7 linked regions of the Macaca fascicularis genome follow. The protein of the gene in region 1 purifies or fractionates together with the protein of each later gene. This does not show direct contact. Links are inferred from orthologs where the notes say so. Each region holds a gene or a part of one and is shown in the gene's direction. Other genes may lie near its edges. The genes, in order: STX7, VAMP3, VAMP8, STX8, PTTG1IP, VAMP4 and SNAP23.

Region 1 (3,926 bases):
TAATCTCAGGTTCTTCTGTAGTGCATTGTACCTTCCCCTCCCAGAGCCCAGAGGTCTATCAAAGATAATATGAATGGTATTTGGAAAGTGCACTAAACCTCACACAGATGTAAGATCCTTTCATGAGTTCCTTCAACGATTGAAATGTCTCTTCCTACGTTCACCAGCCACTTCCTAATTCTCAAGTACAATGCACTACTTTCAGTTCTTTATTTACTTGAACTTTCTGTGACAGATGACATGATGGACCATTCCCTCTTTTTTCCCTTCATTCTCTAGTTTGCCTTTTCCTGGTTTATTTCCTATCTTGTGGGTTACTCCTTTTCTGGGTTATTCTTTCTCTGTCCATCTCTCTTAAACAGATAACATTCCACACTTAGTGTTGGTGAGTTTCAACCAGAATTCTATACTAGGTTTTGCTTTTTTCCACCTAAGTGCATCTGGACTTTTGATATCACATATCCGGGTAATCATTTTAGAAAATAGTGTTTCCTTAATATAGGCGAAGGCTAAGCCAATCTATCTTCTAATTAATTTGGTGAGGGCTTTCTTTCATTTGTAGCAATTGATGCTTTTCATCTAACAATTATATTATATTTGCATATTTATCATTGGAACAGTCTCTGCTTGTTTTAAACCCTGTGAAAACTACGCCCTGCTTTTCAGGAATGCTTCGAATGACTTGTACGTACTAGGAAAACTTGTTTACTAAGTGAGGACCCAGAGATGACTCTTCACTTATTCCTTCATTGTTCCCGCTAGGATTTTGTATTCGCCTTTGCATTTTTCGATAGAGCTGTGAACGCGATCTACTGCAGTTAAAGGTTAGCAAACAAGATAGGCAGGAGCTAAAGGGGCGGGGTGAAGACCTGCGTGCAAGAAGGCTTCACCAGATAAAGAAGACAACTGTCCTCCATTCTGTCCTCTGCTTTTTTGCACGCAGGCTAAGAGGCGTTCACCATCTCTACGTCAGGCTTCAAAGAACAGCTCCCTTGCAATTTTGCTGATACTCCCATTCCTTAGCTTGGAACCGAAGGGGCGGTGAGGGCCGCTGTCACTCAGCCCCGCGGGCCAATAGAAAAGGGGTGAACCCCGCCTTCTTCCTTGAATTGTGCTGCGGGCATGCGCATTGGGCGTCCCCACGCCACCGCCCATCAGCTGAGAATTGCAGCTGAAGGCTCGGGGGTCGGTGGGTGACGGTGGTCGGAGGTGTAGGAGGGAGCCACCGAGGTCCAGGTAAGAGGACCCTGGGGAGGGGGGTTTCCTGGCCGTGCGACAGGGAGGCGCGGTGCCCCTGCGGCGCCGCTCCTCCTTGTTTGTGCGCGTGGTCAGGTGGCCGCCGCCCTGCGCTCTGCAGCAGGCACTCGGTAGGTGAGGAAGGGCCGGACTGCCCCGGCTCCCGGAGCGCCTGCGGCTCCCCATACCCCCAGGCCGGGTGCAGGGGCGCGGCGCGTTCCGCATTCCTGGAGTGCGCGGCTGTGGTTAGGTGGGCCTGGCCAGCCACGCACCCGCCGTGGTCCCATGGGCAGCGCTCCCGAGGCGCACGGCGTGGCCGGCGCCAGACCCGGCTGGGGCCCAGCCCAGGAATCCAGACACGACCAAATGACCTCTTCCTCTTTTCAACTCATGGATTGAAAAACACACTTTAAACTTCCCGAATATAGAGGAACTGAAAAATGTATGGCTGTAGCAGACAAACCGTGTATGTTTGTTTATTCAGTGGCTCGTAGTATTTGTTTTATTTGGCTTGATGACTTAACATACTTTGACATTCTTAGTATACACGTTTAATTAATTTACATAAAAACCTTTAAACATACATAAAATATTTCTAGTATTTCCTCCACCTTGTTTTTTAGTTACTTACTTTCTTTAAATTCAGACAAAGAAAAAAAAGTTGCATTTCTGATCAAATGCTGTGTGTTTTTTTCCCACAAATTTCTCACATTTGCTTGACTGTTATCTATATACGTTAATTTTTGTTTACCTCAGATCGTTGTATTCTGACTATAATTATATATAGTATATAAAACTTGCCTAGAATCTGGAAGAAAAGAAAGTAATTATGAAATGCTGTGCTATTTAATAATGTTGGAAGTGAGCGTTTCTTCTGCAGGTTCTCTGAGCACACCTGGGCAGAGGCTAATAATGGTGTTAAACTGTGTTTGTGATGTGGCCAGGCCTTATAGGCCACTTTGAGAAGTTGGCCTCAGACTTGTGACTAGTTAAGAATTATGCTCTTAACTTCACAGTGTCTGCAGAGGTTAATATGATACCATATTAAGTCATTAACATCATCATTTTTCCTCGGATATGTTACTTATGTTGCTCTTGATAACAAAATCAATTCTCATTTTGATTATGACCCCAAACTTTAAGTGCTGATGATTGAAAAGTAAATTATAGAAAATATCCACAGTAAGTCTGAGTAAAGTTTGCTGTGATTCCATTTAATTTGCAAGTTTCATGTGTGAAAGTGTGAAAAAAATAATCCTTGATATTGTGAACTAAAACCAAGTAGTACAAAAGTTCAGTGATGGAAGATCTAAGGCCAAAGAATGCAGTTAATGTAGTTTGTGCAGAGGATACTTATGTAGACAGTTCCTTGAGCATTTAGTATGCACCAGGCACTGTAGATTACACAGAATGACAAGGTCATCTATCCCCTGTTTATATTCCAGAAGTAGCTCCTGTTTGTATTCCAGAGGTATAGGGATCAATAATAAAGGTTTGTATTCCAGAGGTGTAGGGATCAATAATAAACAGTAACTAATTAGACTATTGAGTATTGTGAAGCAGTAAGTTAGATTGACAAAGAGTGGCCTGTGGTGAGTTCTCACTTTCAGATCAGAGTGGTCACAAAGGTTTCTCTAGCATGTGATGAGGCCTTGCTGGGGAGAAGGAGCCAGTCACATGGAGATCATGAGAAGAGCCTTCTAGAAATAGGAAATGGCACCCAGCAAAGGCCTAAGGCAGCAAGGAGCCTGCGACCTTCGGGATCTGAAAGAAGGCACTGGAATTTTATGTTTTAGAAATGGTAATATTTACCCTCACGCTGGGTGTGTGTTCTTAGGAAGTGGGTACATTCATTCATTCTACAAATATTTGTTAAGCACTTATGATGTAGCCAGGCACTGAGAATAGTGCAATCCACAAAACAGGCAAAAAAATGCTCACCCCCCACCCGTCAGAACTTATTTGGGGTAGAGGGTAGAGAGAAGTCCAGTTGTTTATGCTGATGTTAATGATTAAGAAAGTGAAATTGACCCCTTCTTTGCCCAGAGTAGATTTATAGAGCATGAGATATATGCTAAATGGAAATCTTAAGGATTCTACAGTGTATCTGATTTTAACTGGGAGTAGTGTTTGACACTTTAAGATTACATTTTAACGTTCCCTTTGTTCATTCTTTTGTGTTCTTTAGAAGCAGTCTTGAGAAGACGCTCATCTGAGTGTTGCACTTTGATTCTCCCTTCCTGTTTTTCTCTTTATGGTGTTTGTGTATCTTCATAGAAAGATGATTATTGCGATGTGGAGATTGGCACTGTGCAATAGCTCTTTCTGTGATGATGGACGTGGTCTGTGAATGAGCTGTCCAAGCTGCTGGCCACTAGGAACACAGAATTTTTGAACGTTTGAAAGGTGTCTAGTATGACCGAGGAACTGAATTTTTCATTTAACTTAATTTTAATTAATTTTAATTTTTTAAAAACAAGAGCTACAATGTAATTTAAGTGATATACAATATAAAACGGTGTAAATTGTCACATCAAAAAATGAAATGTAGAGTAAAAGTGTAGTTTCTTACTGCAGTTACCTTGTTAACAGCTTATAATAAGATATTTTTTGCTTTTATTTTAATTGACAGATAATGATTATACACATTTGTGGGGTACATGTGATACCTCAGTAGATGTATACAATGT
Region 2 (3,500 bases), on another chromosome or scaffold:
CCAGTAAGAAACCCATTGTAATTCTGTCCTGCCTGAAATTTCTGTTGACTTATAAAATCAAATTGGAATTTTTTTTAACCAAAGGAATTTTAAGGAGGGTTGTTTTTTATTGAGGTGAAATTACCATAACGTACAACTAAACATTTTAAAGTGTATATAATTGAGTGTTATTTAGTATATTCGTAATATTTTGCAACTGTTACCTCTTTCCATTTTCAAAACTTTTTCATCACCCTAGAACACTTCATACCCATTTAGTAATCATTCACTATTTCCCCTTCCTCCCATTTCCTTGTTACCTCTAATCAGCTCTCTCTTTCTGTGGATTTGCCTGTTCTGGATATGTCATATAAAAGGAATCATACAGTATGTGGCCTTTGGCATCTGCCTTCTTTCACTTAGCACAAAGTTTTTCGCATTCATTTAAGTTGTAACGCGTTGTACCATGTTCCTTTTTATGGTTGAGTAATATTCCATTGTATGTGTATACACAATGTGTTGAGCCATTCATTTGTTAATGAGTCTTTGAGTTGTTTACATCTTTCAGCAATTATGAATAATGCTGTTATAAACATTCACAGGAAAGATTTTGTTTAGACATATGCTTTCATTGATCTTGAATATATACCTAGGAGTAGCATTGCTAGGTCATAGTAACTGTATGTTTAATTTTACGAGGAACTGCCAAATTGTTTTCTACGATAGCCACACCATTTTATTTTCCCACCAGCAATGTCCAAGAGTTCCTGTTTCTCCACATCCTTGCCAACACTTGTTTTCCATTTTGATTATAACCATCCTACTGAGCTCTTTGGGTTTTCATTTGCCTTTCTCTAATGATTAGTGATGGTAAGCATCTTTTCATGTGCTTATTGGCCATTTGTATGTCTTTAAAGAAATGTCTGTTCAGGCTTTGCCCATTTTTTAATTGGGTTGTTTTTGAGTTGTGAGAGTTTTTTATGTGTTCTAGATATTAAATCTTTCTTTAGTAGACATGTGATTTGCAAATACTTTCTCCCATTCTGTGGCTTGTCTTTTACGTTCTTCAAAATGTTCTTTTTTAATTTTTATCTTTTTTTTTTTTGAGACAAGAGTCTTGCTCTGTCACCCAGGCTGGAGTGCAGTGGTGCAGTCTCAGCTCAGTGCAGCCTCCAAGCCCCGGGTTCAAGTGATTCTCCTGCCTCAGCCCCCAGAGTAGCTGGAATTACAGGCACCCACCGCCTTGCCCAGCTAATTTTTTGTATTTTTAGTAGAGACAGTGGTTCACCATGTTGGTCAGGCTGGTCTCGAACTCCTGACTTCAGGTGATCCACCTGCTTGGGGCTCCCAAAGTGCTGGGAATATAGGCATGAGCCACCGCACCTGGCCTGATAATGTTCTTTGATGCACAAAAGTTTTTAATTTTTATGAAGTCCAGTGTATCTGTTTTTCCTTTTGTTGTTCTTGATTTCAGTATCAAATCTAAGAATCCACAGTCAAATCCAAAGTAATGAAGATTTACCCTTATGTTTTCTTCTAAGAGTTTTATGGCTTTAGCTCTTACACTTAGATTATTGATCCCTTTTGAGTTACTTTTTGTATATAGGGTGAGGTAAGGATTCAACTTCATTCTTTTGCGTGTTGGCTCTTCAGTTGGCCCGGCACTGTTTATTGAAAAAACTGTTGGATGGCCTTCGCACTCTTGTCAAAAATCAATTGGCCATAAATGTTTTCTAGTTTTCATTGTCCAAGTCATTCGCCTTTTGGTTAAATTTATTCCTAGGTATTTTATTCTGTTGGATGCTATTGTAAACACAATTGTTTCCTTAATTTCCACCTCAGATTATTTGTTGCTGGTGTATAGAAACACAACTGATTGCTATGTGTTGTTGTACCCTGCAATTTTGCTGTATTTGTTAGCTCTAGCAGTTTGTTGTGGATTCTTTGGTATTTTTTATATAAAGAGAATCATCTGCAAATACAGATAGGTTTATTCTTTTTTTCCAATTTGGATGCCTTTTCTTTCTCTTGACTAATTGTTCTGTTCAGAACTTCCAGTACAGTATTGAGTGGCAGTGTGAAAGTGAGCATCGTTGTCTCGTTCCTGATCTTAGGGGGGATGTCTTTCACCATTGAGCATGATATTAGTTGTGGATTTTCCCATAAATGCCCTTTATCATATTAAAGAAATTCCCTTCTATCCTTAATATGCTGATTGTTTTGATGATGAAAGAGTGAGCTCATTTTTTTTAAAGCGAAAGTTTGGCTCAAAGTAATAAAGTGCTGACCTGAAAGAACAATGTGCCCATAGATTGTCTTTGAAGTCTCTGTGCCTCTATTTTTTTTGGGACAGAGTCTCACTCTGTCGCCCAGGTCGAAGTGCAATGGCGCAATCTCACCCACTGCAACCTCCGCCCTCTGGGTTCAAGTGAGTCTCCTGCCTCAGCCTCCTGAATAGTTGGGATTACAAGCACCCAGCACCACGCCCGGCTAATTTTCTTATACTCTTAGTACTGAGACAGGGTTTCGCCGTGTTGGCCAGGTTGGTCTCGAACTCCTGACCACAGGTGATCCACCCGTCTCGGCCTCCCAGAGTGCTGGGATTACAGGCGTGAGCCACCACACGTGGCCCTATTCCTCCATTCTTTGTGCATTACTTGTTGTGATCACACTCATCTAGGTGGTGGACATAATGCGAGTTAATGTGGACAAGGTTCTGGAAAGAGACCAGAAGCTCTCTGAGTTAGACGACCGTGCAGATGCACTGCAGGCAGGCGCTTCTCAATTTGAAACGAGTGCAGCCAAGTTGAAGAGGAAATATTGGTGGAAGAATTGCAAGGTAATTATCTTTTAACTCACCTTTACATTTAAGCCCCCTTCTCCATTCTCAGAGAATTAACAGGCTACAGATAATGGACTTTCATGACTCTGGGAGGTGGGTTTGATTTCCTCCACATGGAAATGTGGGTCCACTGTGAATCTGAAACACTGACTACATACCCTTTCCTAGCCTCACCCTGGGAATCCTCTATGTGTTGTGGCTGATCTTCAGAAGATGCACGTAGAACAAGAATATCCAAAATCACTCACAGTCATCAGCCCCTCCCAACCCTCTACCCCAGCAGGGCCCCAAACACATAGGAGAGGGCTGGAATTGGTTAGTTTTCGTGTAGTTCTGTGAATGGTTCCAAGGTCAAGGGAAAGAAATGCTAGAAAGCCACAGTGTGCCCAACAGAAGAGTAGAAAGCAGCCCGCCCAGGAGCACGAGCCAAAGCAGATTTTATACAGTCAGTGAGTCAGCGTGCTGCGACCAGATCCAGATGTATCCTGTCCTCTGCCTTGTTTACAAGTGACACTTTGAGACACAGGGCAAGCTGAGCAGCCTTTCCATATGTGGAAAACTTGTATACACACACAAATGCCTAGCTAGAGGCCACACATCATTTGAACATCTTTTAAAAAGCAGGGAAGTTACCTTCAGGCCCTAATTGAGAACATTTAATTTAGGCTTTAGAAATTAT
Region 3 (3,992 bases), on another chromosome or scaffold:
TAGTGGAAAAGTCCTTTGCCTTGGGCCCCTGCTCTGGTACACCAGGGCAGTCTTCTGATCACTGATCACTGACTGGGATCAATTACCTCTCTGGTGGTCCCTGAAGGGAAATGCAGAATTGCTGAACTCTGGAAGGGAAGGAGGGGTTTGGTGAGCCATCATTACAGACACTGTGCTAGTGGCAGTGCACTGCACACGCTATCTTTTTTTTTTTTTTGAGACAGAGTCTTGCTCTTATTGCCCAGGCTGGAGTGCAATGGCATAGTCTTAGCTCACTGCAATCTCTGTCTCCCAGGTTCAAGCGATTCTCCCGCCTCAGCCTCCTGAGTAGCTGGGATTACAGGCACCTGCCACCATGCCTGGCTAATTATTTTGTATTTTTAGTAGAGACGGGGTTTTGCCATGTTGGCCAGGCTGGTCTCGAACTCCTGACCTCAAGTGATCTGCCTGCCTTGGCCTCCCAAAGTACTGGGATTACAGGCGTGAGCTACCATGCCCAGCCTCTTTTTGCTTCTTACCAGCACTGTCTGAGCTAAGCATCAGCACCTGCAAACTCCACAGAGGTGAAAAGGTTCACTCAGGGGCCTGTAACTAGTAACCCAGAGCTTTCTGAATCAGAGCCCAGGATCACAGTATTCCAGACTTCAGGGGTTTTAGTGCTTTCTGTCACTGAGGGACCTGAGAACAAGTGTTATCCAGCAAGAAATTTTCATAACTGCATTTTATTTCCCTGTGAGCCAGGCCTGGCATGGTTGATCTCTGTCTCTAGAAACTGGAGTCAGATATTCAAGACATTAAAAGGAGATGGCTGGTGGGGCGTCATGGCTCCTAGGACTTTGGGAGGTTGAGGTGGGAGGATTGTCTGAGCCCAGGAGTTTGAGACCAGCCTGGGCAACATGGTGAGACCTCATCTCTATTAAAAAAAAAAAAAAAAAGAAAGAGAGAGAGAGATGGCTGCCCTTTCTAGATCAGGAGGTCCAGCCTCAGGAAACCTTGGAGGGCTGCTTGATCTTTCTTTTCTAATTCCTGAAAAGTTAGAAGACCTTTAACATCTGAGAGCCCTATTACTCTAAGCTTAAGCTCTTGTTTGGGAAGCCACTGGGTGGACAGTGAAGAGTGCCCGCCTACCTGGGGAAACCTGAGTTAGGTGTGGCTGGAGCGACTCGAGATGCGAGGTGGGCGGGGGCAGGCTGAAAGCTGGAGCAAGCAGGAAGTGAGCTGACGGCCACCCTGGGAGGAAGCCGACTAGGCTAATTCACCTGCTGATCGGCCCGGGCTGCTCTGAGACATGGTGAGCGAACTGGAAACTAGGAAAGGGCTGATTTAAAGAGGAGCCAGAAGGGGCTCGGGACTGGGGGTTGGCTGTGGGGGGGGAGGAGAGTTGGCGGCAAAGTTAGAGGGCTGGGCCAGTGCTGCCTGTGGCCTCTCCTCTTTGACAACTTGGCTGCAAATAGCTCTGAACCGTCCTAGCAGGTGTTTCTATTCCTTCTTCCTCCCTCCCCTGACCTCTGTGCTGGTGGGGAGCTGGGCTTCCGTGCCAGTGCCAATGGGGGCTCCGAATTCCAGGCAAAGTGTTGTTGTGCCTTCCTCCTCCAGGGAGCCCGAGGCGGGTGTTGTGACACCACCAGGCAGTGCTTGGGCAGTTTCCAGTTCAGATTCCAGCCCAGCGGCAGGAGCTCTCCTCTCTGGCCTTTCACTTTATCCCTACACAGAAACACAAAGGATTTGTGTGTCCACTGAGTCCTTTGGGTGTCCTTTCTCCATTAACATGAAGAAGAGAACTAAGGGTTTATAAGATAACCAGAAGTTGGTTCTCTGTGATAAGCTAGTTCTGACCCATGCCACTGGCCTGTTTTTGGAGGTCAAGGAGGGAGGAGCTTAATAATGTTTTTCTCTCCTTGTTCAAAAACCTTGTCATGAAGTCTCTGAGATGAGACATCAGCCAGGGAGGACTAGTCCTCCATTTCCCCCAACACCCAGGCGGGTATTTTTATTTAATGTCTGCATAAGCAGGTGGTTGCTTGGTGCCTGTGCGTGGTGCCCAGTGGTAGGGAAAGCAGAAGTGTGTGGCTCAACGGCTGTGGGCGCCTTCTGGGGTACTTGGTTGCCTGTTGTTCTGGGTCACAGCAGCAATGGCATTGCGGCCAGGGCCATGCTCCAGCAGCTATTTAGAGGGGCAGATGGGTCAGGCTGGGTGAGGGTGTTTTGCTGGCCAGCACAGACACTTTCAATGAGGATCCCGAGAAATCAGGAAAGAGGGGTGGCTCCGGGAATTGTAAATAGTGGTGGGCTCTGCCCTGGAAAGGGAACATTGTGAGATGCCGGCTCTGCTGTATTCTATGGCCTTCTCTAGGGAGCAAGGAAGCAGTGGGGAGGGATTTAGTGATGCGCTGCTTTTCCTTGTCAGGGGTCCTAACAATCCTGAAAGAAGTTTGATCTAGTCTCTTTAGCATCACGTCTTACCTTCTGGGGCTTACAAATGCATTTATTTTTGATTACACAAGTAATACATGAAAACATTCTCTTTGTAAACATTTCAAGCATTTTACAAAAAGCTGAAGTCTGCCTGAGGCCTTACCCTCCCCAGGCCTCTGAGGCCAAGTCTCCAGTTCCCCCACCACTTGGTCTAATTAACCCCGTGTTGCTGTGCAGGAGGAAGCCAGTGAAGGTGGAGGAAATGATCGCGTGCGGAACCTGCAGAGTGAGGTGGAGGGAGTTAAGAATATTATGACCCAGAATGTGGAGCGGATCCTGGCCCGAGGGGAAAACTTGGAACATCTCCGCAACAAGACAGAGGATCTGGAAGCCACAGTGAGACAGGGAGCCCACTGGAGGCTGGAGGAAAAGAGGAAGGGAGGGAATTTCTTTTTGGTGGGGCAAAATGAACAGGAGGGTCAGAAGTGTAACATTTCTGTTGCCTTTCACCTGGTTTGGGAGCTGATGTGAGCTGAGTCTCCACTTCTGAATCTGCTCTGCTCCACAGATTGTTATGGATCCCAGGGAATGGATCCCATGACTGGGGCTTGAGGTGGCAGCTCACCCATAGAGGCATATTCTGAGACCGATAGCTCAGTCAGCCCATGCATTCTCAGGCTTCTCTCCCGGGAAACTTGTTTTCCCTTTGAAGCCTGCCCATGACAATCATTTGGATCTGACCTTCCCAGGGCAGAAGTATTGGCTTTGAGGAAACCCCCCCACCGTGGCCTCTAGCCTTCTCTAGGAGCTATTAGACAAGGGGTGGGAAATTGCTGGTATCTTGCTGAGTTGGCTTTAAAAAGAAGGAGGAAAGAGCAGAGAAATGCTTTGATCCCAGGGTCCCCTGCTAGATGAAGGCTAAAATAATATCTCCCACACATCTTGCTAGACCTCATTCTTCTCTCTCTCCAGCCAGGGGCTGCGGCCAGCTGTTTCAGGGAGGAAGTAACTCCAAAGTTGAGCAAAGTCTGGAGCCTCAGGTTTTGTGTCCAGCTGGGAAGCTGGCTCTGGCTTTCTTAGTCCTGTGTGAACTCTTGGCTCTTGGGTATTGCTCCCTTGTCTCCCTGGGGCTCATTGCCTGTTTCTGTAGCTTAATTGTAGCTTAATTTGGGGAGCACGGCCCCAGGATTTTTTTTTTTTTTTTTTTAATAGAGCCTCACTCTGTTGCCCAGGCTAGAGTGGTGCAATCTCGGCTCACTTCAACCTTCGCCTCCTGGGTTCAAATGATTCTCTTGCCTCAGCCTCCTGAGTAGCTGGGATTACAGTGTGCACCACCACACCTGGCTAATTTTTGTATTTTCAGTAGAGACGAAGTTTTGCCATGTTGGCTAGGCTGGTCTCGAACTCCTGACCTCAGGTGATCCACCCACCTTGGCCTCTCAAAGTGCTGGGATTACAGACTTGAGTCACCATGCCTGGACAAGCACTAGGAAATTTAGTGTCTATAACTCGAATTGCTGGGCATGGGGAAGAGTGCATGGAGGAGGAGGAGTTCCCTTACTTCCAACCCTCTGTAC
Region 4 (4,079 bases), on another chromosome or scaffold:
GACCTAGTGGCAGAAGGGTTACAACCACCCGTACCCATCCGGCCCGCCTGGGGAGGAGGCATTTGGTCCCTTTTAGGAGCTGGCGCTTGTCAGAGCTGGTAAAAACCATCCCACTCCCTGAGGCTCTCGGATCGAGGAAGTGACTCTCCAAGGCCTTGGGGAGGGTCAGGCTATGCGGGTCCTCCGTGTGTGTCCCTGCCCAGGGCTCCTGCCGTTGTCCCACACTGAATTTCAGGTGTCCCCGGTGTCTCACTATTCCTGTTTGCACTACAGGTCCTCCGAGTTCCTAAACCAGCCAGCCCAAAGATGCTGGAGGCCTCACCATTGAAGCCGATCACGGCGTCAAGTTCCAGCTCCGCCACTTGGGCCTCCGGCGAAATTTTGTTATCCATCCCTGGGAGGTTCTGCTTACTTTGCTCTCCGCCCTAGTGGGTGCAGCGTCTTCTGGTCGTTATGGTAACGGACGAGCGCATGCGCGCCAGCTCCACGCCCGCGCAGAAACCCAGCCTGCCGAATTCGAGTTCATTAGCATTCTTGGAAATGAAGGGAGATAGGGACTGGGAGGGAGATAGGGTGGGATTCATCTTTTTTGTGTCTGCTGTTTCTCTGGAAATTTAGGAGATGGCACTAACTGCACAGAACTAATTCCTCCATCCCCTCGTGTTGAGTCTGTGACTTCTTAGTAACTCTAAAATCAAGCACCAAATGAATGGCATTTTTAAAAATATGTAATCAAGCATAGAGGACTGATGGGAAGGCTGCTATAAAATAAATAAATACATAAATATATATATAAAATTGATACTTCTTTGGGCCCCTGTTTAAAGCAGCGTGAAAAAATATTTTAAATATATTTTTAAAAAGCGTTATTGAGGTATAATTTACATATCATAAAGTTAACTTAAAGTAGGTTGTAGTAAGTTTACGAAGTGTGCAAGTCGCACCGCAATCTAGTGTTTTGTTTGTTGTTTTGTTTTTTTGAAGCAGGATAAATTTTTAAGTAACTGCTACGGAGGTCTTGCAAGCGCTCCCACCTTCCTGGGAAAATGGTTAGTTTCTATTTAACAATTTTAACTGAGCTCAGCTGTTCGCGTCTCTTAGTGGGAGTAGATTGCGCCAGCCAACTGTTCCCAGGGGAGCACTTTCCTTTCTCTGATCATGGTTCTTAGGCTCTAGTTATTCACTTTGCAAACTCCAGGCTCCGGTCGCGCACGGGACGAACTGCGGGGAGTGAGCCGTGCGGGCCGCCGTAGTCAGCTGCTAAGAGCAGGAAGAGTCCGAGCGGCGGGCGGAGTCTGCAGGATGGCACCGGACCCCTGGTGAGCCCAGGGTGAGGGTGGCGGTGCGCGGAGGGACCTTCGGGGAAGCCGGGCTTCCGGGGAGCAGGCGATCACTTCGCATTGCCCCTGGAGGCCTTTCGAGATGAGGGGAGGGGCAGCGAGACCCTTCCTCTACTGAGGGGACTCAGCCACATCCCGCCACCCTTGGTCCTTCCAAGGGTAGCTGGGGAAGGAGACCGGGTGGTCAGCTGGAGAGCTGAGGATTTGAGCCAAATCTCTGAATATTTCTCTAGCTTTTCTGGGCTGCATCTCGCTGCGGGGATTTCCCGCCCATCCTGGTTGTGGAGCTGGCCGGTGCAGGCTTCCTTGGACTCCTATAAAAGTGAAGTCGAAATAACCTTTTTGTAGCATGTCTGTCCATCTCGGTAAACCCCCTTATTTCACAGGTGGAGAAACCGAGGTTCAGAATCCATGGTCACCAGCCAGTTAGTAACCAGCTGGGTCTAAGACCTAGATCCTGGGGGCCCTTCCAGATACAGGAACCTGGGAGGGAAATTGTGCGCTTGTTTATAAGGCATTTTGCACTTTCTTGAGTTAATATCATGAAGTCTTTTCCTTTAGCAGTAGCTTCTGCAGTAAAACAATAGGTGATAAGGGTCATTTATTTAGCAGTCAATCCCAAGGACTGCTTGATGAAAGATGTAACTTTTGATCTCAAGGAACATATTGTTTGATCCCAAGGAACATATTGTTATTGAACATAGACTTGACCTTTCTGCTTAATAATTAAAAACATTACAGCTCTATAACGTTCTTGTTGGAATATATGTCTTATGTTGTTATTTCTAATATAGTTTATAATTCTTTAAGTTACCCTCAGCCTGGATGTTAGAAGAATGGGTTCCAAGAACAAAGTTGAGTTACCTGGAATCTAGGTTATTTGGGTCAATTATTTAATTTAGCATTGACCTTTTTAGACCTAATTTTAGGCCGGACGCGGTGGTGGCTCACGCCTGTAATCCCAGTACTTTGGGAGACCGACGCAGGTGGATCACCTGAGGTCGGGAGTTCGAGACCAGCCTGACCAACATGGAGAAACCCCCTCTCTACTAAAGATTACAAAATCAGCTGGGCGTGGTGGTGGGTGCCTGTAATCCCAGCTACTCAGGAGACTGAGGCAGGAGAATCGCTTGAACCCGAGAGATGTAGGTTGTGGTGAGCTGACATAGCGCCATTGCACTCCAGCCTGGGCAACAAGTGCGAAACTCCGCCTCAAAAAAAAAAAAAAAAAAAAAAAAAACCAAAAAACCCAAATCCCTAATTTTAACAGTTATATACACCCCTTGATAGAGAATATCTAATTTAGAGAATATTGAAAATTTGCAGAGGAAAATAAATAGCATCTTTAACTCTATAATTTGGAAATAGCCATTGTTTAATTTTTAACAATGAATTTGTTACTTTAATCTGTATTTTATATATAGTAAAACAGCATTTCTCTATGTCATTGGACATTCTTTGAAAACATAATTTTCTTTCTCTCTCTTTTTTTTTTTTTTTGAGATGGAGTCTTGCTCTGTCACCCAGGCTGGAGTGCAATGGCATGATCTTGGCTCACTGCAACCTCCACCTCCCGGGTTCAAGCAACTCTCCTGCCTCAGCTTCCAGAGTAGCTGGAACTACAGGCTCATGCTGCCACACCCAGCTAATTTTTTGTATTTTAGTAGAGACAGGGTTTCGCGGTGTTGCCCAGGCTGATCTCGAATTCCTGAGCTCAGGCAATCTGCGTGCCTCGGCCTCCCAAAGTGCTGTGATTACAGGTGTGAGCCACCACACCCGGCCTCATAATTTTCTAATGTTGCATAATAATGCATCACATGAATGACCATAATTTATTTTTCTCCTCATATTAGTTTTTTGGTTTTTTGATGTTTTGTTTTGTTTTATGATTGCAAAGGCAGTTCCTTTGTTCCATCTCTTATTTCCTTGGGCTCCCTGTCTAGAAGTAGGAATTAGAACTGTTGAAAGTGAAAGCATTTATTTTTTTTTTTGTTATTCTCAATTAGTTTGACTAAGTGGCTTTCTCATTAGATTGTTGAAAGTGAGGGCTGAAGGGTACGAACATTTTTAAGGCCCTTGATACTGTGAACCCCAAAGTATCTGAGACAGGACTCAATCAATTTAGAAAGTTTATTTTGCCAAGGTTAAGAATGCACCCGTGTGGATCACGAGGTCAGGAGTTCGAGACCAGCCTGGCCAACATGGTGAAACCCCGTCTCTACTAAAAATACAAAAAAAATTAGCTGAGCGTGGAGGCACGCGCTGTAATCCTAGCTACTTGGGAGGCTGAGGCAGGAGAATCGCTTGAACCTGGGAGGCAGAGGTTGCAGTGAGCCGAGATTGCGCCACTGCACTCCAGTCTGGGCGATAGGGCGATACTCTGTCTCAAAAAAAAAAATAATAATAATAATAACAAATGCACCCGTGACACAGCCTCAGGAGGTTCTGAAGACCTGTGCCCAAGGTGGTTGGGGAACAGCTTGCTTTTATACAATTTAGGAAGAATAATACATGAGTTAATACATGTGAGATTTATGATGGCTCAATCCAGAAGGGCGGGACACCTTGAAGGGGGTGGGGGAGGCTTCAAGGTCATAAGTAGTTTGAAAAATTTTCTGATTGGCAATTGGTTGACTTATTATCAATAGAAAGGAATGTCTGGGTTATGATAAGGGGTAGTGGAGACCAAGATTTTATCATGCAAATGAAGCCTCTGGGTAGCAGGCTTTAGAGAGAATA
Region 5 (4,161 bases), on another chromosome or scaffold:
GGGTAGACGGAACAGTCTGAACCTCAGCCCTGGGAGGCTGCCAGAGACCCCGATCAGTTCCCAGGCGGTCGGGTGAGCCAAGGCCGCTCCGCGGGTGCCAGCGCTCCGAGTGCCAGAGAAGTGGCTCGGATCACAGGAGGCTGGCTTCGGGCCCATCTGCAGGCGCCCAGATCCCAACCTAAAATCACACAGAGTCAGAATCTAATGTAAGGGGGGTTTATTCAAAGGTGGTTGGAGGCTGGCCCACCCGGAAACACCAACTCCAGAGGAATGGAGTCCGCCCTCGGAAGCAGGCAGGGGAAGGGTGCCCTCGGGCAGGCAGAGGCCGAGGGGCTTTTAGCAGGATCGCGGCGTCCTTCCTACGAGGTGGGCGCAGTCACGGCGTTTGATGGGTGACGGGCAGTGCCTGTTTCGGGGAAGGGTACATTTAACCCGTCAGAGGGTGCGGCAGTCACGGCTTCCCGTCTTCTGGTCTAAGCAGTGCAGAAAACAGGGGAAGTTCATCTACAAGGGTCATGAACCAAGAAGGCAGGAGGTTTCCGTCCCTGGCACCAGAGAATCCCGGACCCGAGAAAGGAGCTGCGGGCGCACGGGAGCGGGCGGCCCCGGCTCTCGTGGGGCTTAAAGCGGCAGACTGTGTTCAGGTTCACGCCTCTAAATGTATTTTTGCCATTTCTTAAGTCGCCTTAAAAATGTCCGTCACCATTTAGTCCTTTCATCAACCGAGCAGCGAGGGCGTCGGCGAGAAGCCAGGGAGGAGAAACGGCGCCTCTCTCGGGAATTTAGGTGGCAGCTTCAGCACTACACGTTTCAGCCTATTTTGGGGCCGCTTCCAGTGCGGTTAACGTACAAAAATAAATAAATCCCCGAAACACCCCACGCGGACATCCGCGGGAGCCCAGCGCGGGAAGCCGCGGTGTGGAGCGCGGGCACCGGCGCGGACTACGAGGGCCCACCCGCGTCTCCTCCAGGTCTCACTTGAGAGCAGCGTGAGCAGGGCCTGGGGCCGTCGTCCGGGACGCCCGTAGCCCTTTAGGATGGAGGCCGCCGTCACCTCCGCCACCGAAGCACCGCGCTCAGCCACGCCTCTCAGCCGGCCGCCCGTCCCCGCCGCGCAGGCGCAGGAGCCGCGGCGGGCCCCTCGGTCACTCCTCGCCCACCCGCGCCACGGAGGCGCACTGAGCCTCAGCCGCTCTCCTCACTACCGGGCGCCGTTCCTCCATCGCGCAGGCGCACTGAACCTCAGCCGCGCCGGGAGGCGGGCCGGATGGCGAGGGGGCGGAGCGAGCTGCTTTTTGAGGCTGCGCAGTCGCGTGGCCCCGCCCCGCAGGTCCACTTCCGGCGCCGCGGCTCTTTCTGGCAGAGACAGCTTGTGCTGTAGTCGGAGTTATAACGAGCCCCTGACCGACGGAGCGACCGCCGACCATGGCTCCCGGAGTGGCCCGCGGGCCGACGCCGTACTGGAGGTTGCCCCTCGGTGGCGCCGCGCTACTCCTGCTGCTCATCCCGGTGGCCGCCGCGCAGGAGCCTCTCGGAGCCGGTGAGGGCGCCGGGGCGGGCGGGGCCGCGAAGGGGGCGGGGCGGCTGGTGGGTCCAGGTCGGGGTCGGAGTCCGGGTCCGGGTCGGGGTCGCGGCCTGGGCGCTGGGCTCGGCGGGCGGCCTAGGCCCACGGTCGCAGGCACTGCCCAGGCGGCGGCTTCTCGAGGGTCACGCCGGTCTGGCGGCCGCGGGAGCTGCCGTCACGGCTGGGGCGCGGGCCGGGGAAGAGCCGCCTTTGTCTTTGTCTTTTTGTTTTGTCCAGTCTCTGCGGCCTCTCCTCGCGCGTGGCGGCGGGTTGGCCCTCGCTCGGCAGGCGGCACTCTTGGCACCTGCGGCCTCTCTTAGCCTCACTGAGACCTCAGACAGCTCTCCTCGGGTTCGATCCCGAGCCGGGATGGCGGCTCACGACGTGCTCGAGGTCGCACAGCTGGTCGGGTGCAGGTCGGGATGGCGGCCCCAGGCCCCTGGAGGGTGATGGGGGCCGCGGCCGGCGTGTCTCTGCAGTTGCCGGCGTTCACGCCGCCGCTCCCTCCGGGCCACAGTTCCATGCACAGCAGCGAACGCTCGCACTTATCTTATGCCTCAGAAAGGAAGGCTTCTCCAAAACCAGGCTGTAGCATCTGATTTTGAAGCAAGCTGATTGCGGGTCTACGCTGTCCAGACCCGCAGGTGGCATTCTTCATTCGTTTATCCCATCTGCACCAGGCCCTGCGGCCACAGTGGTGACCGACAGACATAGCTTCTGTCCTAGAGGAGCTGAGTCCCCGGGAGGCTGACCAAGAAAGAAGCAGTGAGGGCGCGGGGGCTGGAGGAGTGCTAGTGGAGGAAAGTGCGTGACAGGAGACTCAGAGTTCCAGAAACCGGGAGTGTTTATAGAGAGTGGCTTCCTGTGGGGCTGGGCCTCCAGGACCTGGTGGGCTGCGGGAAAATCCAGCAGGTTCTAAGCTGGAGAGTGTCATGGTTGGACCTGTTTCAGAATGTCATGCTGGTTTCCGTGTTTGGAGTTTCCAGGGGACCACTAGTGGTGGGGAATAGTGCCACCTTAACTTCAGTTTCCTGACCCTTACAATTAGGGTTGACCTGGGCCCAGCTTGAGGGGCTAATACTTTTCTCAACTCATGTTAGCCCAGGCTCTGTCAGGGTCTGCTAAGCATAGTAGAGCACTTTTTCTTTTTGTGACCTTATGGAATGTTTATTCCAGTGCGGGGTTATTTGTGTTTCTTCTTATCTGTTTCCATGTGTACTTAGTGTTTGTGACGTTAGCAATGCAGCTGCCTTGAAGTTTGTTAATCAAGGAGGCCAGTGGTACTGTACTGGGAACTTTTGGCCCACATTGAGTTCTAAGCACAAATGTGCAATGAATACGTTTCAAGAAACGGAATGGGCGTTTGCCGGGAGAGTGTGTGATTCACTTGAAACTCGTATCAGTGGCTCGGGGGTGTGTTTGCTTGCATTGTTAAAGTGGGAGTGTTACGAAAGCCACCCTGAGGTTTTTGTTTGACTACTGTGATTCCTTCTACTCTGCACTTCTGAAGGGTGCAGAGATGGGTGTGGACAAGTGGAGTGGACAGTTTGGGAATTAATCCAGAACTGCCATTCGGTGTGTCAGCTGAAAAGCACTTCCTTCTCCTCTAGGAGACCACTCTTGGTTACTTCCACTTAGAGTAATCTCCAAGTCCCGGTGGGTGAACTGTTGTTTCTCTTACTGGGGACCCCTTGAAATAGGAAGAATGGTGCCACGTCATGTTGGCATTCACTGCCCAGGCGCCCGTGGTGTCTGCGTGCCCCTTGTCCTTGGAGAGAGGGCCTATTTATAGCTTGGAGAACTCGCATCTTCCCACAGAGTACTTGCTTAGTGTGAGATTTTTTACTGCTTGTCATAGTTACAGGAATGTGACCACAATACTAATGTTTAAAACATTTTGTCTTCTTTACAAGGACACTGTGTGAATTTAAAGAATACATTATACCAATCCAAATCCAACACTTTTAAGCATCTTTTTATGTGTTTTGATGGAGGAGAGACATTAAGAACCCATGGTGTATTGAAGATCTTTGGAGCAAGATTCTTGAAGTTAAAGAAACCTGGATAGGGCTTTTGGACCCCACTTTATTTATGTATGGGGTCAGACTCAATCCAAGAGCTTCATCTGGAGGAAAGACGACCCCAAAAAGGAGTTCGGACTACTGTCTGAGGGCTGGAGCAGTGTGGCCAGTGCAGGTCCCTGAGGTGGTAGGTGCCACCCAGCCGCTCCTTACAGTGGGGCCTCCTGATGTGGAAAGGGGTATCTGTAGTCGGCCCATCACTCTGAGAAGCATGGCTTTCTAACTTCACAGAGTGCTACAGTGTACACAGGGTTCACAGCGTTGATATATACTATTAATCTTCAACTCTTTGTTTTGAAATAGTGGAATTTGCAAGAACGTTTTTTGTCTCCATATCTGCCCTCTTTTCTCACCTGGAATTGACAATGTAGTTGGTCTTCATGCCTCTGTCCCAGTGCAGAGTGGGCACCATGCCTCTTTGGCTGTTGGTTCTGATGAGAACTGCAGCCTGGAGACTGCAGCGTGTGGCCTGCTGTGTGACAGGAGCATGACGAGGAAATACTTAACACTTGCTGA
Region 6 (4,005 bases), on another chromosome or scaffold:
ATCACGCCTAGACAGAGATATAAACCATGAGAGGTTTCTAAGTGGGCCGTTTCAGTCCAAGTCAGCAACTTGGCATAAACATAGGCAACTGAGTTTAGCATCAAGCTTTCAGAACCTTCAACTGACAACCCAACGGCTGTTTCTAAATCTCAGACCATTTAAATCAGAATCTAGGTAACACGTGGGCACCTACGCAGTTTTAAAAGCTTTCCAAGTGATTCAACTCCAAGTGAATCAGAGTTGAGCATCATTGCCTTAGTCATGGCATTTTTCAAATTCGTTAGTACAGTTTTACATTAAAAAAAAAATCAAAAGAAGAGCAACTTTTTGGTAAGAGGGTGTCTATTCTTTCCTTTCCTTTAGTGTCCTCAGATCTTTCCTCCTGCTGTTTTGTCTACTCTTGTTCTTGAACACCCCCTCTTATTTTTATATCTTTAGAAAGTGCCTGGCAAAGCATTTCAGACAGTTAAAATACTCTATCAACAAAGGACCCATAGACACTGTATTCATTTTAAAAGATGTGTAGTGAATATGATTCAATGAGTAAAATAATCCAGCTGGGGCGTGGGAGGAATGGATAATAAAACAAATAAGAGAACGGAAAAACAAAATTAGGACTTGTTTTTGGTAGCCAGCTACAGCGGGCTTCGAGATCTAAACATGATACCAAATTGGGCGGAGGGGGAGGGAGTGAGGGAGGAATGGGCAGAGTGGCGGAATGGCCTGGCAAGGGCGATTTCCCTGAAACCTGAAGGCTTTCAGGTTACAACTAAGGGATACCAGGAAAAGAACACCGAGCCCTCGTTCCGTATCTATCTAAACTAGCTGTGTAACTTTAAGTCAGTCTCCTCTCTGAACCAGATATTCCACCTATCTAAAGGGAGGAGCCTGGCCTAGGAACCCCTAACATCTCTTTCCAAGTGTAGCTAATTCTGTAAACAAGGGATCGAACAGATCTCCTTTCTTCAGAAAAGGCCCCAGACGAACCCGAAGCAGGTCCACCGGATCGCGACCGGAACCTGGAGAACCGGTGGTCGTTCCTCCCCTAAAGCACAGCATAACCTTGGAAAGCTGCACCTAAACTGCGTGTGGGTCCGGGCTCTTTTAGGCGAAGCGCGTTCGGCGGAATCGACTTCCTCGACTATCTCCGTGCCCTGGACCCGCCCTCTCCGCCTGGCGCCAGGCCGCCGAGCGCCGATCGGCTCGATGAGCGGAGGCGCTTCTGCGGCGCTGCGGCCGACGCCGGGTCTGCATCCACTGTCTCCCCCTCCCAGCTTTTTACCTCGGCTTCCCACTCCTTCCCCCGCCCGCCCAGCACCGCCCGCCCAGCACCGCCAGCCCGGGAGAGCTGCCGGGAGTTCCCCGGGAGCCTCAGGTACTGGCGCTGGCCTGTTCCCAGCGGGAGGGGCTGGTGTGAGGAGGAAGGAAACGAAGAAGACGCCCTGCCTCGCCGCCCCCCGACGTCCTAGTCGGGCTGGTCGGCCGGCCTCCGGCATCTAGGAAGGGACCCCGGAGTGGGAAAAGGCTGGGGCCCGGGGTGTCGTGAGGAAGGAAGACGAGGACAGGGGTGTGCGGACGGGGAGCAGTTGAGGAAGAGAAGACTTGGAATGGAAGGGAACTCTGGGTGATGGGAAGAAAACAGTGCCATGGATGGGGAAGGTTTGTTAAGAGTGGGATGCAGTCAGGAATGCCAGGGGGTACCGTGGGGCAGGAAGGGCCAGTGTTAGGAGCAGATATATCCAGGGACGTGGCCTGGTGCGACAGATTGGGTGTGGGGGGTGAACGGAGCTGCCTGGAATTGTGTATTTAAAGGGCTCAGGAGAAAGAGCGCCAACCCTGCTGTGTTTATAATGACCGGAAGGTGGGGGTGAATCGTTACACTTGACAGGTTTTGCAAATGACATCTCCGGTTTGTGTCCATCCAAGTCACTTTATTTCTGTGAAACTGCATCAAGCAAGACGGCTGATGACAGACAAGGAAGACGAGTCAGAAAGGGAATGGAGGCTGGGAAAAGGAGAGCCTCTGCCCAGATTCAAAGCTGTTGACTAGATAACGTACTACTTACAAAAATGCATACATAGACATTTAAGTATATGCCGATGTATAAGAAGCATACGGTGATGTGACTTTTTTAAGTGAATTTTATAGTGGTGGTCTATCCTCAATGTGGAAGTACATGATAGCTCTCTTATTTACATGTATACCTAGTCACAAACACCTGAATTCACATGTCTTTTTTGTAGGAGAATCTTAGGCGGACGATATCCTTGTCTACTTTCTGAGCATGATTCATTTCTACTAGTTGTTTGATACACATGTCATCAGTTACTAATAATCACCAGTTGCAAATAACGTCAAAGTTCATCAACGTAGCTAATTAATCTGCCTACTGCTTTGCTGATGGGCTTTCTATTTGTTGCACATGGTTTCCTGGGATTAAGAGACCTGAATATGGGGTTTGCTCCTCCTTAAGATTGTAGTTTTACCCTATGTCTCATAAAGGCATTATATAAGTCAGCCTGTTGTTTGCTTTGAGATGTTGAGGGAGCCTCTTTGCAGGGGTTAAAATCTAAATACAGATATAGTTAAAAGCACAAGTTCTTCAGTAATTTGCCTTGTCATCTGTTTTTCCATGCATTCTGTTACATTTCTGCAAGAATTAAGTATTCTGAAATCAAAGTATGAGGAATAAAAGGGCCAGATGTATGTGACAGAAATATTGTGGAACCAAGAACTCAAGAGCTGTTAGGCAGCAAGAGTTTGGTTTTTGTTACAAGTGAATAATTTCTGATTTGGAAGCATTTCTTACCAAAGAAAAGTGTTTGTGTCCGTTTGTTTTGACAAGCAGCTGACTTAAAATATTACTTTTATTTGGTTCGTGAAACATGATTCTGGGATTATTCTTTTTTAAGTGTATATCATTAACCAACAAACTGATATCTAACTATACCTAATTTAAAGGGCTGTGTTTCTTCTTGTGGAGAAGGAAACAGGACTATTGGGTTGTTACCAGGAAGTGGGTCTTTCTAGAACAGAATTCTGTAAACCTGATGAGCAACTAATTGAAAAAAACAGTTAAAACTGATAATGCACAGCCATTGATTAATTTAGGCCTGTATCTCTGCTGTTTCAATGAGTGTAGTGACTAACGTTATCGTTACTAAACTTTAGTTTTCTCCTAGTTTCTTGGTGCCTACTTCAAAGAAGGGTCATAAAGAGTAAAAGAAAATGCATGCATATCACTGAGCACAGTGCCTAGCACACAGTATAACATTATTTCTGAGCTATCCTGAATTGCTGAGTATTCATCTACCATCTAGTCAAAAATACTGAAAATTCATTATTTGCATAGAACAACTTTTTCTCAAAAAAAATTTTTAATATGTTGCATACACAAGCATTTTCCTGGAAAGTCACAATGCATATTAGCATATAACAGGATGTGAGTCATTCTGTAGCAAAGAAAACTAGTTTTGTTTAATCCAGTTGTTTTGATAGAAGAAAAATTGAGTTTCTCCTATTCTCTCTCAACACAGAATACTCCTGTGACCCCAAAAAGACTTCTCCTCACAAGCAAGCAGGCAGTTCTGCAGCAGGTTCTCCAGCTGGGTGTTCTCTCATTCAATTCTGATACTGTATACCTAGAGATAGCATCAGATCGGGCAGGTTGAGGGCTTAAGCCTACAAGATTCCCCCCTTCAGGTGCCAGTCACAAGTTCCAGGTTGTTTTACCTGTGCTTCCAACTGACTGGCTATAAATCATAGTTCCCACAATCCCTTCCTTGTGTTCCATTTATTTGCTAGAGTGGCTCACAGAATTCAGAGAAACACTTTGTTTACTGGTTTATTATAAAGGATAGAGATCAACAGCCAGATGGAAGAGGTGCATAGGGCAAGGGGTACAGAGCTTCTGTGCCCTCTCCAGGTGTGCCACCGTCCAGGAACCCTCTACTTGTTCAGCTTTCGGGAAGCTCTCTGAACCCTGTCCTTTTTGGGTTCTATGG
Region 7 (4,081 bases), on another chromosome or scaffold:
TTTTTTTTTTTTTTTTTGAGACAGAGTCTTGCTCTATCGCCCAGGCTGGAGTGCAGTGGCTCGAGCTCGGCTCACTGCAAGCTCCGCCTCCTGGGTTCAGGCCATTCTCCTGCCTCAGCCTCCCGAGTTGCTGTGACTACAGGCGCCCGCCACCACGCCACCACGCCCGGCTAATTTTTTTGTATTTTTAGTAGAGACGGGGTTTCACCGTGTTAAGCAGGATGGTCTCGATCTCCTGACCTCGCGATCCGCCCGCCTCGGCCTCCCAAAGTGCTGGGATTACAGGCGTGAGCCACCACGCCCGGCCATATTTTGTATTTTTAGTAGAGACGGGGGTTTCTCTATTTTTGCTAGGCTGGTCTCGAACTCCTGACCTCGTGATCTGCCCGCTTCAGCCTCCCAAAGTGCTGGGATTGATTACAGGTGTGAGCCACTGTGCCTGGTGAAGCACTTTATTTTCTTGATTTCCAGCAGTTTGTTTTATTCTTAGAGGTGCATGGAAGGGTTCCTGCAGCAAATAGTTTACAATAATCATCCATCTGCTTAAAACTCTTCAATAGTTTTCAGTGCCCATAGTACAAAGTGGTCTAAAATTCCAAGGCCTTCCAAAATCTAGCGATTGTCGGCCTTCTAAAGCTTTCTTCCCTCTACACTCTGGGATGTACGATTAGCTCTAAGCCTCTTACAAGGATGAACTACTAGAAATTTCCAGAAGGCGTTATGCTGTTCTCGACATAAGCTGTTTCCCAGAGCCTGGAAAACTCTAGCTCTTTCTCTGCCGGATTTCCGGGGGAACTCCTACTTATCCTTCAGGACTCAAGTCACTTCCTCCGGGAACCCTTCCAGACACCCCTAAGAATAAAACGCTTTGTTCATTATCAGCCAAAGGCGCCTCAGATTTTCTATGTGCTATGCACTGTATTCTATTCACTATAAATTTGTTTACATATCTATATCTTAGTCTAGACATATTGAAAGACGCTGAAGGGCAGGGAAAGCATTCTATTCGCTTTCTTTTCTTCATCGTTCATCCAGCACAGTGCCTGGCACACGGTTTGCCCTCCGTAAATGTTTATTGCATGAACACCTCCCAGCTTCGGGCATGACCGGAATCTATCCGGTTAACTGGTGAATTCCCAGACTCTCCGCCTGCGTGGCAGGGACATTTAAACCCCCAGCACCGTGATTGGCTCCAGCTGAAGGGGTGTGTCCGTGTCCTCGGCGCACGGGATGTGCGCAGGCGCGCGGGCTCGGCGCGCGCAGGCGCGACTAGGGCGCCGCGCCAGGTCCGGTGTTGGGGTGTCCGAGCTGCGGCTGGAGAGGAGTGGCCTTACCCGCTTGGTGAGTCTCCAGGAGTGGGACGGAGGGAGCTGACCGGGATGAAGTCGGAGAGTATGTCCTGAGAAGAAAGAGTATATCGTATTGGTTGAAAAGTTGGTGGGGTCGGGCTTAAGCGGAGGAGGGGGCGCTCTGGCCCTTACTGGGCAAATGGGCCCGGAGCGAGGACGGGAGGTGCCGTGAGAACATCGAGGGGCCAGTGGAGGAAGGTGGCTGGATGGTGATTCTCTGGACCCTTCCTCGAAATTAAACAGAGATCACCTCCCGTCCCTCACCCCCACTGTGTTGCTGTGGTTGACATTAATAGACTGCATGTCTGGTGACCACGGTGACCAGATAGCTCTGAGATAATGGCTTGAGGAAGGACTCTCAGGTTCCTGGTATTGGATAGCACTTTCTCTGTAGAAAGGTTCAGCCTTACCTCGCGGCACAAATTAGAGGATCAGGAAAAGAATGAATTCCACAATTCGGGATTGTAGTGGTGGGGGGAAAAAGTACTGTAAAGTGCAGTTTCATCTCGTCCTTTTTTTCTTCTTTAATCATTAGTCACCACAATGTTAGGAAAGGCAGTTGATGGTAGGAGAAAACGTAAAGACATAAAAGTAGGGGAGAAAAAAAGTCAAGAAGGGAGTATCACTTTGCCTTTTGCTATTTGTCATCTCCTGGAATGGAGTCTGTATTAGACCGATCTCACACTGCTATAAAGAAGTACCCGAGGCCGGGCTTGGTGGCTCATGCCTGTAATCCCAGCACTTTGGGAGGCCCAGGTGGGAAGATCACTTGAGATCAGGAGTTCGAGACCAGCCTGGCCAACATGATGAACTCCCATCTCTACTAAAAATACAAAAATTAGCCAGGCATGGTGGCATATGCTTGTAATCCCAGCTACTCCGGAGGTTGAGGCAGGAGAATTCCCTGAACCTGGGAAGCAGAGTTTGCAGTCAACTGAGATCATGCCACTGTGCTCCAGCCTGGGAGGCAGAGTCAGACTCCATCTCCAAAAGAAAAAGAAAAAGAAATACCTGAGACTGGGTAATTGATAAAGGAAAGACGTTTAATTGACTCTCAGTTCTGCATGGCTGGGGAGGCCTCAAGAAACTTATAATCGTGGTGGAAGGCAAAGGAGAAGCCAAGTACCTTCTTCACAAGATGGCAGGAGAGACAGAGTGAAGGGGAAAGAGCCCCTTATAAAACCAGTATCATGAGAACAGCATGGGGGAAACCACCTCCATAATTTAATCACCTCCCACCAGATTCGAGATGAGGTTATGGGTAGCCAAACCATATCATTCTGCCCCTGGCCCCTTTCTTTCTTTCTTTCTTTCTTTTTTTTTTTTTTTTTTTGAGACAGAGTCACCCAGGCTGGAGCGCAGTGGCGCTATGTCGGCTCACTACAACCTCCAACACTTCAGCCATCCTCCTGCCTCACCCTCCTGAATAGAGACTACAGATGCATTCCACCAAACCTGCCTTTTTTTTTTTTTTTTTTTTTTTTTTTGAGATGGGGTCTTGCTCTGTTGCTCAGATTGGAGTGCAGTGGCATGATCTCCGCTCACTGCAACCTCCATCTCCCAGGGTCAAGCAGTTCTCCTGCATCAGCCTCCCAAGTAGCTGGGATTACAGGCGCCTGCCACCACACCTGGCTAATTTTTGTATTTTTAGTAGAGATGGGGTTTGGCCATGTTGGCCAGGCTGGTCTTGAACTCCCGACCTCAGGTTATCCACTGGCTTCCACCTCCCAAAGTGCTGGGATTACAGGCGTGAGCCACCGCACCTGGCTAATTTTTGTATTTTTTAGTAGAGACGGGATTTCACTATATTGGCCAGGCTGGTCTTGAACTCCTGACCTCATGATCCACCCGCCTCGTCCTCCCAAGGTTCTGGGATTACAGACGTGAGCCACCACTCCCGGCTCCCCTGGCCCTTTTCTAATCTCATGTCCTCACAGTTCAAAACACAATCATGCCTTCCCAACAGGCCTCCAAAGTCTTAACTCATTCCAGTATTAACCCAAAAGTCCAAGTCCAAAGTCTCATCTGAGACAAGGCAAGTCCCTTTTGCCTAGGAGCCTGTAAAATCAAAAGCAAGTTAGTTACTTCTAAGATGCTATGGGGGAATAGGCATTGGTAAATGCTCCCATTCCAAATGGGAGAAATTGGACAAAACAAAGGGGTTACTGGCCCTATACAAGTCCAAAATCCAGTGGGACAGTCATTCCATCTTAAAGCTTATTTTAATCTCCTTTGACTCCATGTCTCACATCCAGGGCATGCTGATGCAAAGAGTGGGCTCCCAAGGGCTTGAGCAGTTCCGACCCTGTGGCTTTGCAGGGTTCAGGCCCAGAGGCTGCTCTCCTAGGCTGGCATTCAGTGCCTGCGGCTTTTCCAGGTGTATGGTGCAAGCTGTTTGTAGACCTGCCATTCTGGAGTCTGGAGGATGGTGGCCATCTTCTCACAGCTCCACTAGGCAGTGCCCCAGTGGGGACTCTGGGGGGGCTCCAACCCCATGTTTCCTTTCTGCAACACCCTAGCAGAGGTTCTCCTTGAGGTCTCTTCCCCTGCAGCAGACTTTGGCCTGGACATCCAGGGATTTCCATACATCTTCTGAAATCTAGACAGAGGTTCCCAAACCTCAATTCTTGACTTCTGTGCACCTGCAGCCCCAGCATCACGTGCAAGCTACCAAGGTTTTGGGGCTTGCAGCCTCTGAAGCAACAGCCCAAGCTGTACCTTGGTCCCTTTTA

Evidence for each region.
Region 2: the proteins of STX7 (region 1) and VAMP3 purify together in Homo sapiens (affinity purification with mass spectrometry; 3 studies listed by BioGRID and IntAct, counting the BioPlex papers as one, with this or other methods). This does not show direct contact. The link is inferred for Macaca fascicularis from reciprocal best matches to the Homo sapiens genes STX7 and VAMP3.
Region 3: the proteins of STX7 (region 1) and VAMP8 purify together in Homo sapiens (affinity purification with mass spectrometry; 7 studies listed by BioGRID and IntAct, counting the BioPlex papers as one, with this or other methods). This does not show direct contact. The link is inferred for Macaca fascicularis from reciprocal best matches to the Homo sapiens genes STX7 and VAMP8.
Region 4: the proteins of STX7 (region 1) and STX8 purify together in Homo sapiens (affinity purification with mass spectrometry; 5 studies listed by BioGRID and IntAct, counting the BioPlex papers as one, with this or other methods). This does not show direct contact. The link is inferred for Macaca fascicularis from reciprocal best matches to the Homo sapiens genes STX7 and STX8.
Region 5: the proteins of STX7 (region 1) and PTTG1IP purify together in Homo sapiens (affinity purification with mass spectrometry; 3 studies listed by BioGRID and IntAct, counting the BioPlex papers as one, with this or other methods). This does not show direct contact. The link is inferred for Macaca fascicularis from reciprocal best matches to the Homo sapiens genes STX7 and PTTG1IP.
Region 6: the proteins of STX7 (region 1) and VAMP4 purify together in Homo sapiens (affinity purification with mass spectrometry; 3 studies listed by BioGRID and IntAct, counting the BioPlex papers as one, with this or other methods). This does not show direct contact. The link is inferred for Macaca fascicularis from reciprocal best matches to the Homo sapiens genes STX7 and VAMP4.
Region 7: the proteins of STX7 (region 1) and SNAP23 purify together in Homo sapiens (affinity purification with mass spectrometry; 3 studies listed by BioGRID and IntAct, counting the BioPlex papers as one, with this or other methods). This does not show direct contact. The link is inferred for Macaca fascicularis from reciprocal best matches to the Homo sapiens genes STX7 and SNAP23.

Annotation. Positions count from the first base shown.
Region 1 is NC_088378.1:36,468,806-36,472,731, reverse strand, and holds the start of STX7 (syntaxin-7), read left to right. Parts: upstream 1-1,126; 5' UTR 1,127-1,236; intron 1,237-3,926. UniProt on the Homo sapiens protein: May be involved in protein trafficking from the plasma membrane to the early endosome (EE) as well as in homotypic fusion of endocytic organelles. Mediates the endocytic trafficking from early endosomes to late endosomes and lysosomes.
Region 2 is NC_088375.1:227,095,572-227,099,071, reverse strand, and holds part of VAMP3 (vesicle-associated membrane protein 3), read left to right. Parts: intron 1-2,659; coding exon 2,660-2,818; intron 2,819-3,500. UniProt on the Homo sapiens protein: SNARE involved in vesicular transport from the late endosomes to the trans-Golgi network.
Region 3 is NC_088387.1:36,008,971-36,012,962, reverse strand, and holds the start of VAMP8 (vesicle-associated membrane protein 8), read left to right. Parts: upstream 1-1,192; 5' UTR 1,193-1,288; coding exon 1,289-1,291; intron 1,292-2,652; coding exon 2,653-2,811; intron 2,812-3,992. UniProt on the Homo sapiens protein: SNAREs, soluble N-ethylmaleimide-sensitive factor-attachment protein receptors, are essential proteins for fusion of cellular membranes.
Region 4 is NC_088390.1:9,661,652-9,665,730, reverse strand, and holds the start of STX8 (syntaxin-8), read left to right. Parts: upstream 1-1,279; 5' UTR 1,280-1,302; coding exon 1,303-1,319; intron 1,320-4,079. Other genes in the region: CFAP52 (cilia- and flagella-associated protein 52), read right to left, coding at 323-392. UniProt on the Homo sapiens protein: Vesicle trafficking protein that functions in the early secretory pathway, possibly by mediating retrograde transport from cis-Golgi membranes to the ER.
Region 5 is NC_088377.1:2,169,845-2,174,005, forward strand, and holds the start of PTTG1IP (pituitary tumor-transforming gene 1 protein-interacting protein), read left to right. Parts: upstream 1-1,361; 5' UTR 1,362-1,425; coding exon 1,426-1,540; intron 1,541-4,161. UniProt on the Homo sapiens protein: May facilitate PTTG1 nuclear translocation.
Region 6 is NC_088375.1:29,354,531-29,358,535, reverse strand, and holds the start of VAMP4 (vesicle-associated membrane protein 4), read left to right. Parts: upstream 1-1,205; 5' UTR 1,206-1,375; exon of another isoform or gene 1,376-1,659; intron 1,660-4,005. UniProt on the Homo sapiens protein: Involved in the pathway that functions to remove an inhibitor (probably synaptotagmin-4) of calcium-triggered exocytosis during the maturation of secretory granules.
Region 7 is NC_088381.1:19,102,931-19,107,011, forward strand, and holds the start of SNAP23 (synaptosomal-associated protein 23), read left to right. Parts: upstream 1-1,281; 5' UTR 1,282-1,341; exon of another isoform or gene 1,342-1,392; intron 1,393-4,081. UniProt on the Homo sapiens protein: Essential component of the high affinity receptor for the general membrane fusion machinery and an important regulator of transport vesicle docking and fusion.